Linked DNA regions of Tamandua tetradactyla. The protein of the gene in region 2 purifies or fractionates together with the protein of the main gene of each other region. This does not show direct contact. Links are inferred from orthologs where the notes say so. Each region holds a gene or a part of one and is shown on either strand. Other genes may lie near its edges. The genes, in order: CSTF2T and CSTF3.

What was found.
Region 1: the proteins of CSTF3 (region 2) and CSTF2T purify together in Homo sapiens (co-immunoprecipitation; 4 studies listed by BioGRID and IntAct, counting the BioPlex papers as one, with this or other methods). This does not show direct contact. The link is inferred for Tamandua tetradactyla from reciprocal best matches to the Homo sapiens genes CSTF3 and CSTF2T.

Annotation. Positions count from the first base shown.
Region 1 is NC_135339.1:45,356,793-45,365,356, reverse strand, and holds CSTF2T (cleavage stimulation factor subunit 2 tau variant), read right to left. Parts: upstream 3,741-8,564; 5' UTR 3,407-3,740; coding exon 1,493-3,406; 3' UTR 241-1,492; downstream 1-240. UniProt on the Homo sapiens protein: May play a significant role in AAUAAA-independent mRNA polyadenylation in germ cells. Directly involved in the binding to pre-mRNAs.
Region 2 is NC_135334.1:109,356,429-109,364,815, forward strand, and holds the start of CSTF3 (cleavage stimulation factor subunit 3), read right to left. Parts: upstream 3,404-8,387; 5' UTR 3,222-3,403; coding exon 3,195-3,221; intron 1-3,194. UniProt on the Homo sapiens protein: One of the multiple factors required for polyadenylation and 3'-end cleavage of mammalian pre-mRNAs.

The DNA.
Region 1 (8,564 bases), on a different chromosome or scaffold from region 2:
GCCTAATATCCAGGTAACACCAAGATGTTAATACTGGTACCACTCACAAGTGGGTTTAAAGTTATTTCAATTGAGGAAATGTAGATAACGGATCTAAGAGAGAGATTTCCATTCCTTCCTGAAATTTCAATAGTTTTGTCACTTTTTCATTAAAAAAAAAGTCATCAGGTCCCCTTTATTTCTTAAGGTGTAACTTCGGAAAATATTCATTAAAAATAAACATCAGTGACCACAATCAGCCTTAATTATGCTTTCTTTTTATTTAGTCTGCATTCAACGATGCAGATTTTACAACAACAAAAAGCATAACACTTAATAGTTTGCATCATTAGAGCCCTTCAGTAAAAGCTTTATGATAAAACAACTGTAATTTCAAGATAATGAAATCAACTATGAATTAGTATTAACCAGAGCAATCATACATATAAAGGAGAGTTACCACTCCAGTATGGGATGAGTACATAGAAAACATGGGAAAGTTAACAGTATGTACAAAAAACAGTAGTAAAAGAGCAACAACAGTGTAGTGATGAAGAACTCTGTGAAAAGAGTGCAATCCCCATTTAGGATGTTAAAATCCTGAAGAGGAAAACTAACTCAATTTCTAAGTCTTACCTCTCTCCTTGCATTAAATATTTTTTCTTATGTAACTGGTTATTTTTCTTCAGAGTACGATCATTTGGCTATGTGGAAGTTTAGGCTTATGTTAACCAACACTTGTTCTGTGATACAAATTTTCAAGTAAAAATTACTCAGATTTGACTTAGGGCTTAAAGACTTGAGGCAAGGGAAGGTACTGAATTAGACTGAATCTAATCAGAGCTAGACTAGAACAATGTCTCTGAAGGGTGGGATAAATGAAGCAACATAAAACCAGGTGCACTCCTTGATTTTTCAGGTAGCACAGCTTTAGAAGAAAGCAATTCCAATACCACAAGTTTAAACTTATCCCATTAACTCTTAACATTTCAACATAACTCAAAAACATAAAGCTTAGCCTTTAAATGGCTTACCAAAAAATATAACTTTATAATTTTGAGGTAAACTTTTTTATTCTACAACTTAAAATCTTAAACTATCTTAACACATTGCCATTTTAACACAGGTTACCATAATCTTTATGTGCAGTTTTCATAGTTCTACTCAATTTTTAAAAATGTAGTTAACATATTGTAGATACCTTTCATATTGTCGCACATTCTTTATAAGCTTTTTTGGTAAAATACAATCATGTTCAGTGTTACTTTTGTATTTCTCGGTAACTTGAGTGAACAGACCCATACCCTCCACCCCCTCCCCCCAATTAAAAGTGAAAAGGAAAGCTGAAGGAAAGAAAAATAAGAAAAAATGAGATTAGGCTCTAGGAAGCAGAGGTAAACCTTAATCTTAAACTTTCAAGTGTGGGGATGTGTAAATCAGCTTTTTGCACCCCTTCTCCATGCTACAGAATTAACTTTCTGAGATTACTGCCTTGTGTATTTTCTAAAACTTTTCAAGAAGCTCCAGTGGATTTCTGGATTTGCTCTTTCAAAATCAGAATACTCTGCCTTTGCTCAGGAGGCAGCATGGCAATCTGATCTGCAGTCAGTTGAAGAACCTGCATGATCAATGCTGCTTTTTCTTGATCCTGTGGAGTTACCTGGCTCTGCCCCGGACTAAAACTGCTAGGCTGGCCTCCACCTTGCTTGCCTGCCCCCTGCATGCCGCCTCCTTGTATGCCTGCCCCCTGGATGCCCACTGCTTGAATGCCTGCCCCTTGTATGCCTGCCCCCTGCATGCCTGCCCCCTGCATGCCTGCCCCCTGCATACCAGCCCCCTGCATGCCTGCCCCCTGCATACCAGCCCCCTGCATGCCTGCCCCCTGCATACCTGCCCCCTGCATGCCTGCCCCCTGCATGCCTGCTCCTTGGATGCCTGTCCCCTGCATGCCAGCTCCAGGATTTCCCACTCCTGAAATGCTTGGAACCTGTCTGGGACCCTGAGGGCCACCTGCCCCCATACTGATGGGACCAGGACCCTGGATTCCACCAGTCATAGGGCCTCTTGAACTGGGGCCAGGACCTCTTATCTCCATTCCTCTTGCATCCATGCCTCTAACTTCCATCGCACAGGTCTCCATTCCTCTTCTCTCCATTACTCGTGTCTCTAAGACCTCAGTCTCCATGGCTCGAGTCTCCATCACTCGAGAATCTCTACTACCTCTACCATCCAGGGGTAGACCCCTTTGATCTAGCATGGGTCCTCTGGGCTCTCCAATTAGCATTCTGGGATCTGCTAATGGCCCTCCCCTCATTTCATGTGAGGCAGGTCCACGGTTGTCATGACCAGAGACATGGTGCATGGGGGGACCTTGGTGGGGTGGGCCCAGGTAACCTCTGGGCTCTACTTCTCCAGTAACTGAAAGCAAAGTCCCTCCACGTGGATCATTTGGAGCATCTCCTAGCAGTCCTCTAGGAGGCAGGCCAGCAGCAGTCATGGGTCCACGAGATATAGGCGCCCTGGGATCTGACATCTGTACGTGTCCCCGCTCTAAAGGCACTGGGCCAACCCCAGGCATTCCAACCTGGGGCTGCATTGCTCCTCCAGGAGTTAAGGAACCAGTTCCAGGTCCAGGAACAGCAGTTGGGATCGCCCCCGGGGCTGGAATTCCACCCTGGATAGGAGTTTGCATCAGAGGAGGAATGTCTTTCACGGGTCTTCTAGCCAAATGTTGAGGCTGAGGGGCTGGAGGGTTCTGCTGGTTCAGCAGAACATTAGGTCCTGGGCACAGGCCTGGGCCGGAGACAGACTGAGATTTGCCCGGAATTAGTGGCGTGACATGTATCTTACGATGCAGAATTTTCAAAGCAATCTCTGGATCCATGATTCTCATCACCACTTGTGCCTGCAACAGCGCATAAGCCAACTGCGGGTTTTGAAGCAACATATTTCGAGCTTCCTGGTGGCTGTTTTGGACACAGAGCTTCATCTGCTTCATTAGCTCAAACATCTGTTCCGGAGGGAGACTGGCGACTGCTCTAGTAATTGATTCAGGGGCATCTTCCGGATCGATGGGATCCCCATAGGGTGAGTCAATGATGGGCGCTGCCGGCCCTAGACTCTTTAACTCCTCCTTATTCTTTTCACTAGCAGCATTGTCCACCCGAAGCGCTCGCCCGCTGAACTCCCGCCCGTTGAGGTTCCGCATGGCACTAAGCGCGGTCTCCTGGTCTTGATACTCGCAGAAGCCATAACCCTTGGGTTTTCCCGTCTCTCTATCGTATACCAGACGGAAACTGACAACAGAACCAACCTCCGAGAAAATGTCCTTTAACTGCTCCTCAGTTGCCTCATACGGAATGTTCCCCACGAACACGGAACGCAGTGATCGATCCATTGCCGGGTCTCTCACAGCCAAACTCGACATGATTCCGTTTATGAAAACAGCGGATAGCGGATTCTTTCGAGAGTTGTCCCCCAATACACACTTCCGGCAACTAGCGGAAACGGCTCTCAAAATCCGGGCAGAAACCTCATTGATGCGCTTGAATCGTTCCGCTTCTCTGCGGAAACCGCACCTGTATGTCCCCCTAGTTTAACGCTTGCCAGCCCCAGGCCTTTCGTGGTTCTGTCAGCAAATTGTTACCGAGATGCACTTTTCCTTTTCTCTTATTATGCCGACTTTCCATGGCGCCCTACTCCTACCAGGGAGAGCTTGGTGTGAGGTGACCTAAGTAAAGATGGCAGTATTGGCTTCATCCTGGTAAACGAGACAGGCCGCCTCTTTTGACGTCAAGGGTCCGTTCGGCTTCCGTTCGGCCGGCGCGAAACCGCCAACCGAAAGCTGATGAAGGCAGGGGGGTGTTTCTTCATTCTGAGGCAAATATTTTCATGTAGCCGTTTACTCTTAATGTAGAGTATTTAAGCAATATTTAAAACCATGTTCCAAACTATGACAGAAAGGGCAGTTTTAAAGCCGATTTGATATTCGCTCCTTAAATTACAAACATAATTTCTCCTTTAGAGAAAAACATATTTGGAAAATAACTGCCTAAGCAGAAAGACTGAACACGTGTGCCGGTTCCCTCCCCGCCCCCAATCTGTTGCTTCGGGTTTGCCGGTTCTTGCAGATTTTTCTTGGTTCACAAAATCAATCAATTCATACTGGATTGTTTTTCTTTCTTTTCGTAATAGTGCTAGTCGATATTAATGTTAATCATTGCTAATAAATAGCGTTTTGTGGCTGCAAGGCTTGAATTAAGCAAATGTATGTAACCATTGTATTAGTAGGCATTTAGTTTATAGTTCAGTGTATATAATACGATATTTTTATTGCATCCATTTACTCTCAAGTGTTTTAATAGTCTTTTCAAACAGGATTTGACATACCTGTTCGCCCAAGACACATGCCAATTTGTATGTGCAAGCGTATATATATCACCCAATAAAATCTACTTGCTGCCTCAGAGAAACAGAAAAGCTGTCTGCTAGGAAAGATCCCCCCCCCCTTATTCTTTTTCTTTTATGGGGGGCCGGGGGTGGGGTTGTGAGGAGTTAAAGATGGTATTTCAGAAAACTTTTAAAAAGTAGCTCCTTTACTGCTGCTACTGATAGCACCCAGTGGTTCACAGATGGTAGCCCACAACGGAAACACCTGGAACTAGGGCTCGTTAAGTCAGATTGTTGGGGCTCTTTTCTCCCACCCAGGTTCTGATCCGGGGTGGGACTAGGTCATTTGCATGTGTAACAAGTTTCAGGCTGGTCTGGGACCCACACTTTTAACAACCACTCGTAAACAAAAAACTTGAAATGCTTTATCTTCACATGCATTAGGCCGAATTAAATTTAGTACACTCTGTTAAAAGGTAGGAGAGCTGGGTGGTTTGAAAAAAAAAATCATGTGGATCTAGTACTGCTAGGATGTACTGATACGCAACTCCCCCCCCCCCCCCGCCCCCACACACACACAACTGAAGATAACCCCGGGCTCAAAGGATGGGTAGACAAAGAGAAGCTGAGAAATTCTGTGGACAAACAGCCGAGAGCATGAGCCTGCTTTTTGTCCTTAGCCCTCCATGGTCTTCTCAGTCACCCTGTTCCATCCAGGGATAGGAAGAATGGTGGGTGCTGCTTTGACACGGCCCCCTTCACGGAGGACCAATGTGACCCAGCACATAAGTAAATGCCTGCAACGCATAAACTAATATTTATTATTAACAGAGTTGCCCAGAATCACCAAGAGCTCTTATGAACCTGTGTACATTTACTGGTGAAAATACATATTTTTTATAGCTCTACTTTGGAAAAATGTCCATTTTTATACAATGTTCTTTATTCCCAGAAAGTTTAAACTTAAGGGATTTATAGCACAATATTTATTCTGAAGAAAAATATACAAAGCTTATTGTATGTCCACTGATCAATTCGTTCAATAAATCAAGCTGTTAATTATGCAAATGATGATTAAAAAAATACATCAGGGTCTAGATGGCTAAATGGGGGGTGTCTTTCAAACCGACTACCTTCATAGAATATGAACTTTAGTTATTGATGCTGCCATTGTTTAAACTGAATTATAAACGCTTTCTGAGGTATCGCTTCAGGGCCCCATCATTAAGTAATACTAGATAATTAGTGGCAAAACTTGCTTTTGGCAGAAACAAATTAATCACCCAACTTTCTGGCCAGACATGCCAAAGTCTGATGTTTCGCTATTTTCAAATATCAAAACTTATACCAAAATACAAAGATTCCATAGACTTTGAGGACATTAATGGAAGATTCACTATAGATTAATAAGATAAATTCAACAGAGAGGTTCTAAAAATATTTTGAGTGTGGCAGGCATCTTTGAAATATGTATATGGATTCTTCCAGGCACAGTTTGAATATATTCCTCCACAAAGTTTTTCCAGATCTTCCTCCTCTTCCTCGAGGTTGAACATAATTTCCTTTTCCTTTTGATGTAAACCATTCCTTATTTGTACCTACCTCATGACAATAACTCTTAAACCTGTTAATGAAATTAGTGTGTTTTCCCTGTAGACTATAAAATCATTCAAGAGAAAGAGCTAGATACCCCATATCAATTTCTATTATTTTTTTCATTCCATAAATACATACTGAGTATAGTTTTAGTCAGAGGCAATACAGCAGTGAAAAAGTCAAGTATTCTACAAGAATAGAGATTTTTCAAAAGTTTGATCCCTGGACCAGAAGCATCAGAATCACCTGGAAACCTCTTAGAAATGCAAGTTTGAGGGCCCTGTCCCTAACTAGGGAGTCAGAAACTCTGGAGGGCATGGTGCATGTGTGTAGAAATTCATGTTGTAACAAGCCTTCCAAGTGATTCTGATGCTGGCTAAAGTTTGAGAGCCATAGTACTACAGGAAAACAGCCATAGATAGATGGTTTTTCTTCATCACTATCCTCAGTACAGATAATAGAGTTTAGCACTGGTAGTTTCTCACTGAATATTTGTTCAGTGAGTAATGAAAAATGAATTTAGGGTTAGCTAATCCACAAGCCCTTCATTTTACAGAGAAGGAAATTTTGGGGGTTAAATGATATGTTCCAAAGCAGGAAAGAAGCATGCTGTTAGAATCCTACCAGTTCACTCCTAGCTTAGGCATGGTATGTCCATGTTACTATTTGATAAACCAGATATGTAATGAGTAACATAGAGATGGAAGAGAATGATACCATCTAGATCACCATGGAACGTTTCCTGATGAAGATGGGATTTAAGGAATGAGTTATAATCTGGTCAAATGGACAAAAGATGATAAGATGACAAATGCACAGCTATATGATGATAATGTGAACTACTGATTATATAATTTGCATAATTATATGGTTTGTGAATGTATCTCAATAAAATTGCTTAAAAAAAAGATGATGAGGATAATCTAGTAGCTAGGAGTAGCCAAGACACACAGTTGGGACCTGGTAATTTTGATACTCACAGAGGAAATCAATAGAGAGTTGTTTAGTAGGGTGATAAATGATTGATTTGGGAGACAGATTATAAAAGATTTTAACCACCAGATTCACGAGTCTAAATTTGATGTGCAGTCAGGCTTTCTTCCCTCTTTCTGAAACATGACCATGGAATAAATGGTGAGGGTTTAAGAATACCAGTGTTATAGATTCTTTCTCCATTATGGTATCTTCTGCACCTGAACTGTCTATTTCAGTCCCTCATGACAGTTTTCCTAAATTGCAGCACTTGCTTCCTGCATTTGACAACCTGTTATAATTATGTGGCTTCGTTGTCATTAGCCTCCCTCCTTTTTATGTATTTTCTTCTAAGTTGTACCACTTACTTTTCACCATATATGATCTGTGCATTTCTGCCTCTGAGGTTATACTGCTCCTCTATCAGGGATAATATTTTTCCTCTCTACCTCTTCTCCCCAAGTCTAAATCCTTCTTGTCCTTCAATGCTCACTTCAGGACTTCCCCTTAATATAAATTCACAGAAGGACAGGGAAGACCCTGACCCCCCAGGGACACTCATAGCTATGACTAGGGCCCCCAACTGCTCTTACATGTTTGTATTCTTAACAAAATAAAGGCGTAGATTCTCCAGTCCAAAAAAAAAGACTTCCCTTTTAGAATATTAGCTTGATGTTCATTATCTTCTATCTTGTATTATAGGTGTTAATAGCCTTATGTTATCACTTAAGCAAATAACACATATCTGATTTATATTCTTCATAATGTCTTGTCCTGTGCCTTTTATATTACAAACACTCAGTGCTTGGCCATCTTATAATGACACATTATGTTAAGCAAATAATAATTTAGCCCTTTTAGTTTACAAAACACTTTAACTTGGATTTCCATATCTGGTCCTGACAGCAATCATGTGAGGCTCAAACAGTTTTACCCTCATTTTAAAGATGTGAAAACTCAGAGAGCTATTATATAGAACTTTATCAGTAATGGACTCGCTCAAATTATAGATACTATTAATAAAAGCTAACTCTGAGCACTTAATATGTAGGAGGTCCTTTGATAAATGCTCTGTGAAATAAAATATTTTATTTACTCCTTTCAACTACCCTTTTGAGTCAAGCCATCATAGTATCTCAATTTGTTGCTAAAAAAATGGAGCTACAGAGACGTCAACTGGCTTGCCCATGGTTATTATATTGCTATTAACTGGCAGAGTCAGGATTTGAACAGACACTGACTCAGGAGCTCAAGTTCTTAAATTGAGCTACAGCCAAAAACCAGGTCTCTAATTTTAAACATCCTTTTCAACATTTATATAGTAATCACAGGTTTCTGAGGCCTGGCATAGTTTCCCTTGGCCTTTTTCCTGATTGTTTCTGATGAAACTAATCTCAATTTTGACATCATAATCAGTGCTGTGGCAACAGATGGACTATACAGCATAAAGATTGAAGCAATTGGGAAAATGTTTCCCTTTTCAATTTTCAGGACTAGAGTGAAACATCACATCAGAATTTTAAAAACATCCAGTTAGATAGGTAATGAACTGATTTTCTATGAAGTGAAAGAGCCAGCATTTTTCAAACCCACTGTTAGGATGGTGTGTGACATTTTAGCTAAAATTT
Region 2 (8,387 bases):
AAATTACAACCAAAATCCCTAGCAGTGATTTTGCTCATCTCCCACACTTTCCTCTTTCAACCAGAACTATAATACCAAGGGAAATATCATCCATATTTTTTTTTGTCATCCATATTTTTCAGTAACAAATTAAGGCATTATCAAGTTTATCCAAAAACTTGTTTGCAGTTTCCATGCTACAGGAAGGCTAAAAGAAATCTACACCTCGTATCTTGTAGATTGTTTATCCATCTCAACCCTTGACATCCTTTCAAAGCAAATTCATGCTTCAGAGTGGTTTTGCTTTTTTCTTATTATTCTCTATAGTTTTATTTACTTTTTTCCCTCACCCATCATTTTAGGCACTCATCTCCCTTTAAGTTTTCATTAACAGCTGTCTCACTTTCAAACAAAGTACAGTTAATTCATATTTTTAATGTCACTCTAAAATGTCAATTAATTACCAATTCAGTTAAAAGCTGAATCATATAATATCTGGAATTTGCTTCAAAGTAATGGGGGGGGGGGGGACAAGTGAAGGTATGGAAAGAACAATATCAACCCTGAGTTGAGAAATGTTGAAGTTGGATGACAAGTAAAGTTGACACACTGTACTATTCTTTCTTTTTTTGCATGGACAGGCATCAAACTGGGGTCTCTGACATGGCAGGCAAGAACTCTCCCTGTTGAGCCACTGTGGCCCTATTCTTTCTTTTATGTGTTTGAAATTTACTATTTAAAAGTTAAATAAAAAGTTGCATGAAGAATCAGACGTCAAAAAATATCTGATTTCAGACTGAAGGAAAGATATAGGAGCCACCATAAAGGTGCTATCTCAGGTAAATTTGGGATAAGTTAATCAAAAGAAAAATTACTACAGCTGAATATAACACTAAATAAACAAACCCATGAATCAGTGATACTCAATTTTTTTTTAAAAGAGAGAGGAAACCTCTCTACAGAACAACATGAGCCAATAAATATAACTACAATAATAGGATTTTTTAAAAAGTCTTCATTTTGCCACCTACACTGTAATAACTGGTTTAGTAAAAGATTATCAATGGATGAAAAGAAAGTCTGAGTGAGGAACATGGTATCAACCCACATTACCTACTGCAAAAGGGTAAAATAAGCCTTTACAATGAAAAGATTCAGCAGTCACCACCCTAACTAATTAAACTAAACCAGCACAATGGAACAACCCAGCATCAAGTGCCTTTTGATGTAATAGAAAATGAAGCACCACCTAAATGTATCTTAGCAAAAAATATTTAACCTGAATTTTTATCAAGGCTGAGTTCACATTTAATCCTAAAGATTTTGGATAAAGATCTACAGACAAGTAAAATGACACCACAAGAAAACGATCAAATAAATCCAGACAGTGAGAAAATAACTGAACTGACTTCTTCAAAAAGACAATATGTTTGGGAGAGAGGGTTATGATTGCTCTGGGGATATAACCACATGACACAATATGTGAACCTAGATTAGACCCTGTTTCTGAAAACAAACTAAAACAAAAAGAAAACCTATAAATCACTTTTAGAACAACTGGGAAAATCAGAACATGGACTGGATTTTTAAATGATATGGAATTAGTATTTTCTTGGGTGTGAAAATGGTATTGTGGTTACATAACATAATGTAGAGAATGCTGAAATATATAGGGGTGAAATATTTGTCAATGACCTTCAAGTAAATTATGCTGAAACAAAGCAATTATGGCAAAATATTAACAACTTGGTTCCAGGCGAAGAACTGTACTGTAACTGTTCAACGCACTTTCAATTTTTATCTAACTTTGGGGGAAATTATTTTTCTGTGAATTTTCACCACCATCTCTTTCCGTTAAAACAGCACAGTTCTGAAATATACAAAGTCATGGTCAACATTTCAGTATCTTTACGGTTTTAGATGCATTTTAAGAACGATCACTGAATTTTGGAAACTTAATGAAACCTCACTGCATTACTCCTCCCTGGCTTTCAGATGACAAAATACTAGTCCAGAAAAAAAGGACAGGTAAAATTTAGTTTTGATTTAATTTTAAGACTTTACATTCTTGAGCATTACACAGCATGTAAACACTGAAAATTTCAGGACTAAAATGAGTCCATGAACAAACACAAAAAGTTGTCCATAGACAAACTTGCACAGTATAATGAAATGTACAGCCTATTCAAGGGGAATGTTCCTATTTTGTCTCCTCTCTGTCAGCCTATAAGTTAGTTATATGCTGGGGACTCGAAAATGAAAACGTAAGTGTATTTCGTTGCTATGGCAATGGGAAATTTCAGGAAATTGAGTTTGCAGGCTAGTCTCCATTTTAAAAACTGTCTCTATCTAAACATACCAGGACTTCACACAGAAAATGAATTTAAGGAGTTCTTTCACAAAATAGCTTTCAAACAAACCTCTTTCAAAAAAAAAAAAACTAGTTACTATCAAATTCTGAATGGAAACTACAAAAGAACAGAAAAAACCACATTGACCTAAAAATATTAGTTTAAAAACACCTAAGTGGCATATCTAGTACTAAAACAGATGCTTTTACTTAAGTAGCCAAAACAGAATTCTCGTTTCCGATTTATCAAATTCTGCAATGTCTGTGTCGCTGGAAAAAAGAAATGTAGGTACAGGGGAGAAAAAGGAGCGAGAAAGCCACAAAATTCCCAGAATCTCAGCATAACCATGAGCGCTCGAAGATTTTTTCTCTTCATTCGCTCTCCCAAGAACATTTTTCCCCAAATGTTTTGTCTCCAATTATTTCTCAAACTAGTAAGCTCCCTATTTCTGGGTACAGTATATTTCTTGGAAAAGGGGTGGAGGGAACATTGTTAAGTTTTTCAAAGGCGGCGGGTACACGTTAAAATAATTCCTAACCATCTTAACCACAAAACGACATCAAAGGAAAAGCATCCCATGCCAAGTATTCCTATATCTAAAGGGGACAAAGCAGCCTCCCGGCTATTGTTCGGATCAAATATTTGCTCGTAATAATGCCTACGAGAGAGAAGTCGGAAAACACTTCTTAATTCCAGTCAGATCTTGCTCCCCATTCTCTCATTCTTCAGCACCCCGTTCTCCGGGTTCAAGAGACCCCTGATTTCTTCCTCAGGCGAACATGGCTGGAGTACGCGGACGAACGCGGACGAACACCGACGTGGAGAGAAGAGTCGCCACGAGGCCCCACCACTCTCCTTCCTCACCTGTTCCGTGGCTCCGTCTCCTGACATGGCCTCAGCTGATTAAAACGTGCACACTGGCCCCCGACGAGAAGCTAGAAAAGAAATTTTAAACTAAAAACCAACCCCAGACCAATAAAGTTACCCCTGCCCAGCAGAGCCAGACCGCCAACACCAAACACCACCGCCCACTCAGATGTGAATTAAAATGGCTGCGCCCCTGCCGGCCGAGCAGAGGGGGCGTGGCTTCCTGTTAACTTCCGGGCCAAAGGTCGGAACTAGTACCGACGCACGCCAGTTACTCTAGGTGCGCAGACGCAGAAAGATCCCAGAGGCCAGAATTAATGCCAGGGCTGAGTCTCCGCCCTTGGGTGAGAGAGGCTGTTGCTGAGCTGGTTACAACCGGCTGGGAGGCGGGAAACCATTTGGCCTGGGGACTCACGCGGTTTTGGAACTTAATTACGGAGTTACAGAGCCCTATCCTGTAGGAATAGGGCTAACAGTTGAACTAGAACTTGCCAGTCAGTTCAGGTCAGTTCCCATTTAGGGAACAGTGTTAACTGTTAAATGCCTCCTCTTCTGAGGGGATAAGGAATACATCAAGATTTTCTGTGGTATCAGCTAAAAATATTTATGCTTCTTGGGGTGTGAAGAACAGCCAGACCAAGCCCAGATTAATTTTTTTTTTTGTATGATGTATGGCGGGATCACATTTCATTATTTGTCCATGTGAGTATCCCATTATTGCAGCACCATTTGTTGAATTTTTGTTTGCTTTTTGGAAAGTGCATGGATGGGGAATGGAACCCAGGTCTCCTGCATGGAAGGTGAGAATTCTACCACTGAACTACCCTTGCACCCCCAAGCCCATATTAATTTTTACCGTCACCATGTACTATTGTGCAGAAGGCTTTGAAGGCCGTACAACCGGGGTTCTAAACTGTACCTTACCGTGGTTCTTTATCTGCAAAGTGGAGATAATAGCAGTTGGGCTCTGGAGCCAGATTATGTGTCCACCTCTAACTAGATGAGCAATCATGAGCAATTTAACCTTTCTGTGCCTCAATTTTCTTGCCTATAAAGGGGAATATTAATAGTGCCAGCAATTTGAATAGGTCAATACATGAAAAACTGCTTGGAGCAGAACCTGGCATAGTCTGAGATTAAATGAGATCAAGTTTTCTCAAAAAACTCTTTTCCCATTCTGTTAAAAAGCACTTTCCCAGGCGGGCCATGGTGGCTCAGCAGGCAGGAATGCTTGCTCTGCAATGCCAGAGGACTCGGGTTCGATTCCCAGTGCCTGCCCATGTAAAAAAAAAAAAAAAGCGTTTTCCCTCATCAATCTTAAGAAAGCAAGATAGATGCCTATTTTTTTCCCCTTTACTGACTAATTTTCTCAGTAAAGTGTTTGATTTAATGCCTGCTTCAAGTAGTAGAAATTTATTTTTTCTGGCTTTTCTCTTTATTGAAACATAAAAACGTGAATTCATGTTTTGTTGTTGTTTTTAAGATTTTAAGGTGTTTCAATTAATTGTATCACTGTTCTTTTGGGGCTAGTGGAAGTGTTGTCATACTGGGTGAGTTGGTCACACCTCCTTTTTACATGATGCCATTAGTGTTGGACATCTCCCTGGCCTACACAAGATGTCCCAGGCTCACAATGTTCCCAGTTGCAGGTCCAGTCATTTCTCCGGTGGGATCCCAGTTCCTACTGTAGTGGCATTTTCAGTGTTCAGAGCAGGAAATGTATGGATTTAATTATGAGTTCATATTGAGATTTCCAACTAAAATTTTTTTTTAATTTTTTTTATTAATCAAAAAAAAAGAAAAGAAATTAACACAACATTTAGAAATCATTCCATTCTACACATGCACTCAGTAATTCTTAGTATCATCATCACATAGATGTATGATCATCATTTCTTAGTACATTTGCATCGATTTAGGAAAAGAACTAGCAAAACAGCAGAAAAAGATATAGAATGTTAATATAGAGAAGAGAATTAAAATAATAATACTAATAAAAAATATATATATATAAAAAAGGAAAAAGAAAAAAACAAAAACAAAAGATGCAAAAAAACAAACAAACAAAAAAACTATATTTCAGGTGCAGCTTCATTCAGTGTTCCAACATAGTTACATTACACTTAGGTATTATTGTGCTGTCCATTTTTGAGTTTTTTTTATCTAGTCCTGTTGCACAGTCTGTATCCCTTCAGCTCCAATTACCCATTATCTTACCCTGTTTCTAACTCCTGCTGGTCTCTGTTACCAATGATATATTCCAAGCTGATTCTCGAATGTCGGTTCACATCAGTGGGACCATACAGTATTTGTCCTTTAGTTTTTGGCTAGACTCACTCAGCATAATGTTCTCTAGGTCCATCCATGTTATTACATGCTTCATAAGTTTAGTCTGTCTTAAAGCTGCATAATATTCCATCGTAGGTATACGCCACAGTTTGTTTAGCCACTCGTCTGTTGATGGACATTTTGGCTGTTTCCATCTCTTTGCAATTGTAGATAATGCTGCTATAAACACTGGTGTGCAAATGTCCGTCTGTGTCTTTGCCCTTAAGTCCTTTGAGTAGATACCTAGCAGTGGTATTGCTGGGTCGTAATCCATTCTGCCAGTCTATGTCTTTTGATTGGGAAATTCAGTCCATTAACTTTTAGTGTTATTACTGTTTGGATAGTATTTTCCTCTACCATTTTGGCTTTTGTATTATATATATCATATCTGATTTTCCTTCTTTCTACACTTTACTCCATACCTCTCTCTTCTGTCTTTTTGTATCTGACTCTAGTGCTCCCTTTAGTATTTCTTGCAGAGCTGGTCTCTTGGTCAAAAATTCTCTCAGTGACTTTTTGTCTATAAATGTTTTAATTTCTCCTTCATTTTTGAAGGACAATTTTGCTGGATATAGAAGTCTTGGTTGGCAGTTTTTCTCTTTTAGTAATTTAAGTATATCATCCCACTGTCTTCTAGCTTCCATGGTTTCTGCTGAGAAATCTACACATAGTCTTATTGGGTTTCCCTTGTATGTAATGGATTGTTTTTCTCTTGCTGCTTTCAAGATCCTCTCTTTCTCTTTGACCTCTGACATTCTAACTAGTAAGTGTCTTGGAGAACGCCTATTTGGGTCTATTCTCTTTGGGGTGCGCTGCACTTCTTGGATCTGTAAATTTAGGTCGTTCATAAGAGCTGGGAAATTTTCAGTGATAATTTCTTCCATTAGTTTTTCTCCTCCTTTTCCCTTCTCTTCTCCTTCTGGGACACCCACAACACGTATATTTGTGCGCTTCATATTGTCATTCAGTCCCCTGATCCCCTGCTCAAGTTTTTCCATTCTTTTCCCTATAGTTTCTGTTTCTTTTTGGAATTCAGATGTTCCATCCTCCAGTTCACTAATTGTAGCTTCTGTCTCTTTAGATCTACCATTGTAGGTATCCATTGTTTTTTCCATTTTTTCTTCTTTGTCCTTCACTCCCATAAGTTCTGTGATTTGTTTTTTCAGATTTTCTATTTCTTCTTTTTGTTCAGCCCATGTCTTCTTCATGTCCTCCCTCAATTTATGGATTTGGTTTTTGAAGAGTTTTTCCATTTCTGTTCGTATATTCAGCATTAGTTGTCTCAGCTCCTGTATCTCATTTGAACTATTGGTTTGTTCCTTTGACTGGGCCATATCTTCAATTTTCCGAGCGTCATCCATTATTTTCTGCTGGTGTCTGGGCATTTGATCAGATTTCCCTGGGTGTGGGAACCAGCTGGTTGAAAGGTTTTTCTGTGAAATCTCTGGGCTCTGTTTTTCTTTTCCTGCCCAGTAGGTGGCGCTCGTGGTGCTTGTCTGTCTGCGGGTCCCACCAGTAAAAGATGCTGTGGCTCCTTTAACTTGCCAATCCGAATCTCGTAGTCGGCCCAGGAAACCGCACGTGGGGGGGGGGGGTCCCTGGCCGCCGCAGCTTGGGGGAGTGCCGGTCCAAATTGTCCAGCTGGCCCGAGACGCCAAGCGTGGCGGGAGGGCCCTGCTATCCAACGTTCCCAGTCAGACTGGGGAGCCACGTGCGTGGAGGGGACCCCAGTCGCCAGCCGCCCAGGCCGGGAAAACGCACGCCCCTCGGGTATCTCACTGCAGCAGATTCTCCTTGCCCATACAGCCGTTCCAGAATGGGGTACGCTGTCTTTTTGGTCTCTGTCGTGGCTCCGGGAGCTGTTTTGTATTGTTTCTGTTTCTTTAGTTGCTGTTCTGGAGGAGGAACTAAGACCTGCGCATCTTACTAAGCCGCCATCTTATCCTCCAACTAAAATTTTAAAAATACATATTGTAGTAACATATATGCAACCTAGCATGTTTCATTTTAAACATATTCAAGTTTATAATTCATTCTTGTTAATTCATTCTCAATGTTGTGCTATCCTCACCATGATCCATTACCAAAACTATTCCATCATCCCAAGCAGAGACTCTGTACCCATTAAGCATTAATTCCCTATTCCTCAACCCCTGGTACCCTGTATTCAGTTCCAATTTGACATTATGTTGGGTGTTGGTCTTTTTTTTTTTTTCCCATAATTTCATTGATTTTGTATCTCTTCTCTCTCTCTCTCTCTCTCTCTTTTTTTTTTTGCTGTTGCATTGTATGCCACTGTGTAGGTTTGGCATAAATTTGCCTGTCCCATTTGGATGGATATTTATGTTGTTTCCAATCTTTTGCTGTACAAATAATGCTGCAGTAAATAATTTTGCGCATATTATTTTACGTGTGTGGAGGTCTAGCTTCAGAATAGATTCCTGAAAGTGGGATTGTTCAATCAAACAGTAAATATGTGTGTAACTTTATTAGAGCTTACCAAATTCTCTTGCATAGGAGTTGTGCCATTCTGCATTCCTACAATCAGTGTATGAGAGAGCCTTATTTCTCACACTTTCTTCAAGTATATGTTGTCAGACTTGGATTTTTTTTGTCAGTCTGACAAGTAAGAAATTGTATCTCTGTAGTTTTAATTTGCACTCCTCTTATTACAAGTGGGGCTTTGTATCTTTTCATATGTTTGAGTCATTTTTTTTTTTATTCTGTACTGTCAATGAATGTCTTTTGCCCATCTGTCAGTGATATTTTTGGTCTTCATCATCTTGATTTTTAAAATTTCTTTATATATGAGAGAGATCAACCTCTGGAGTGTTATAAAGATTACAAATACTTTATACCTAT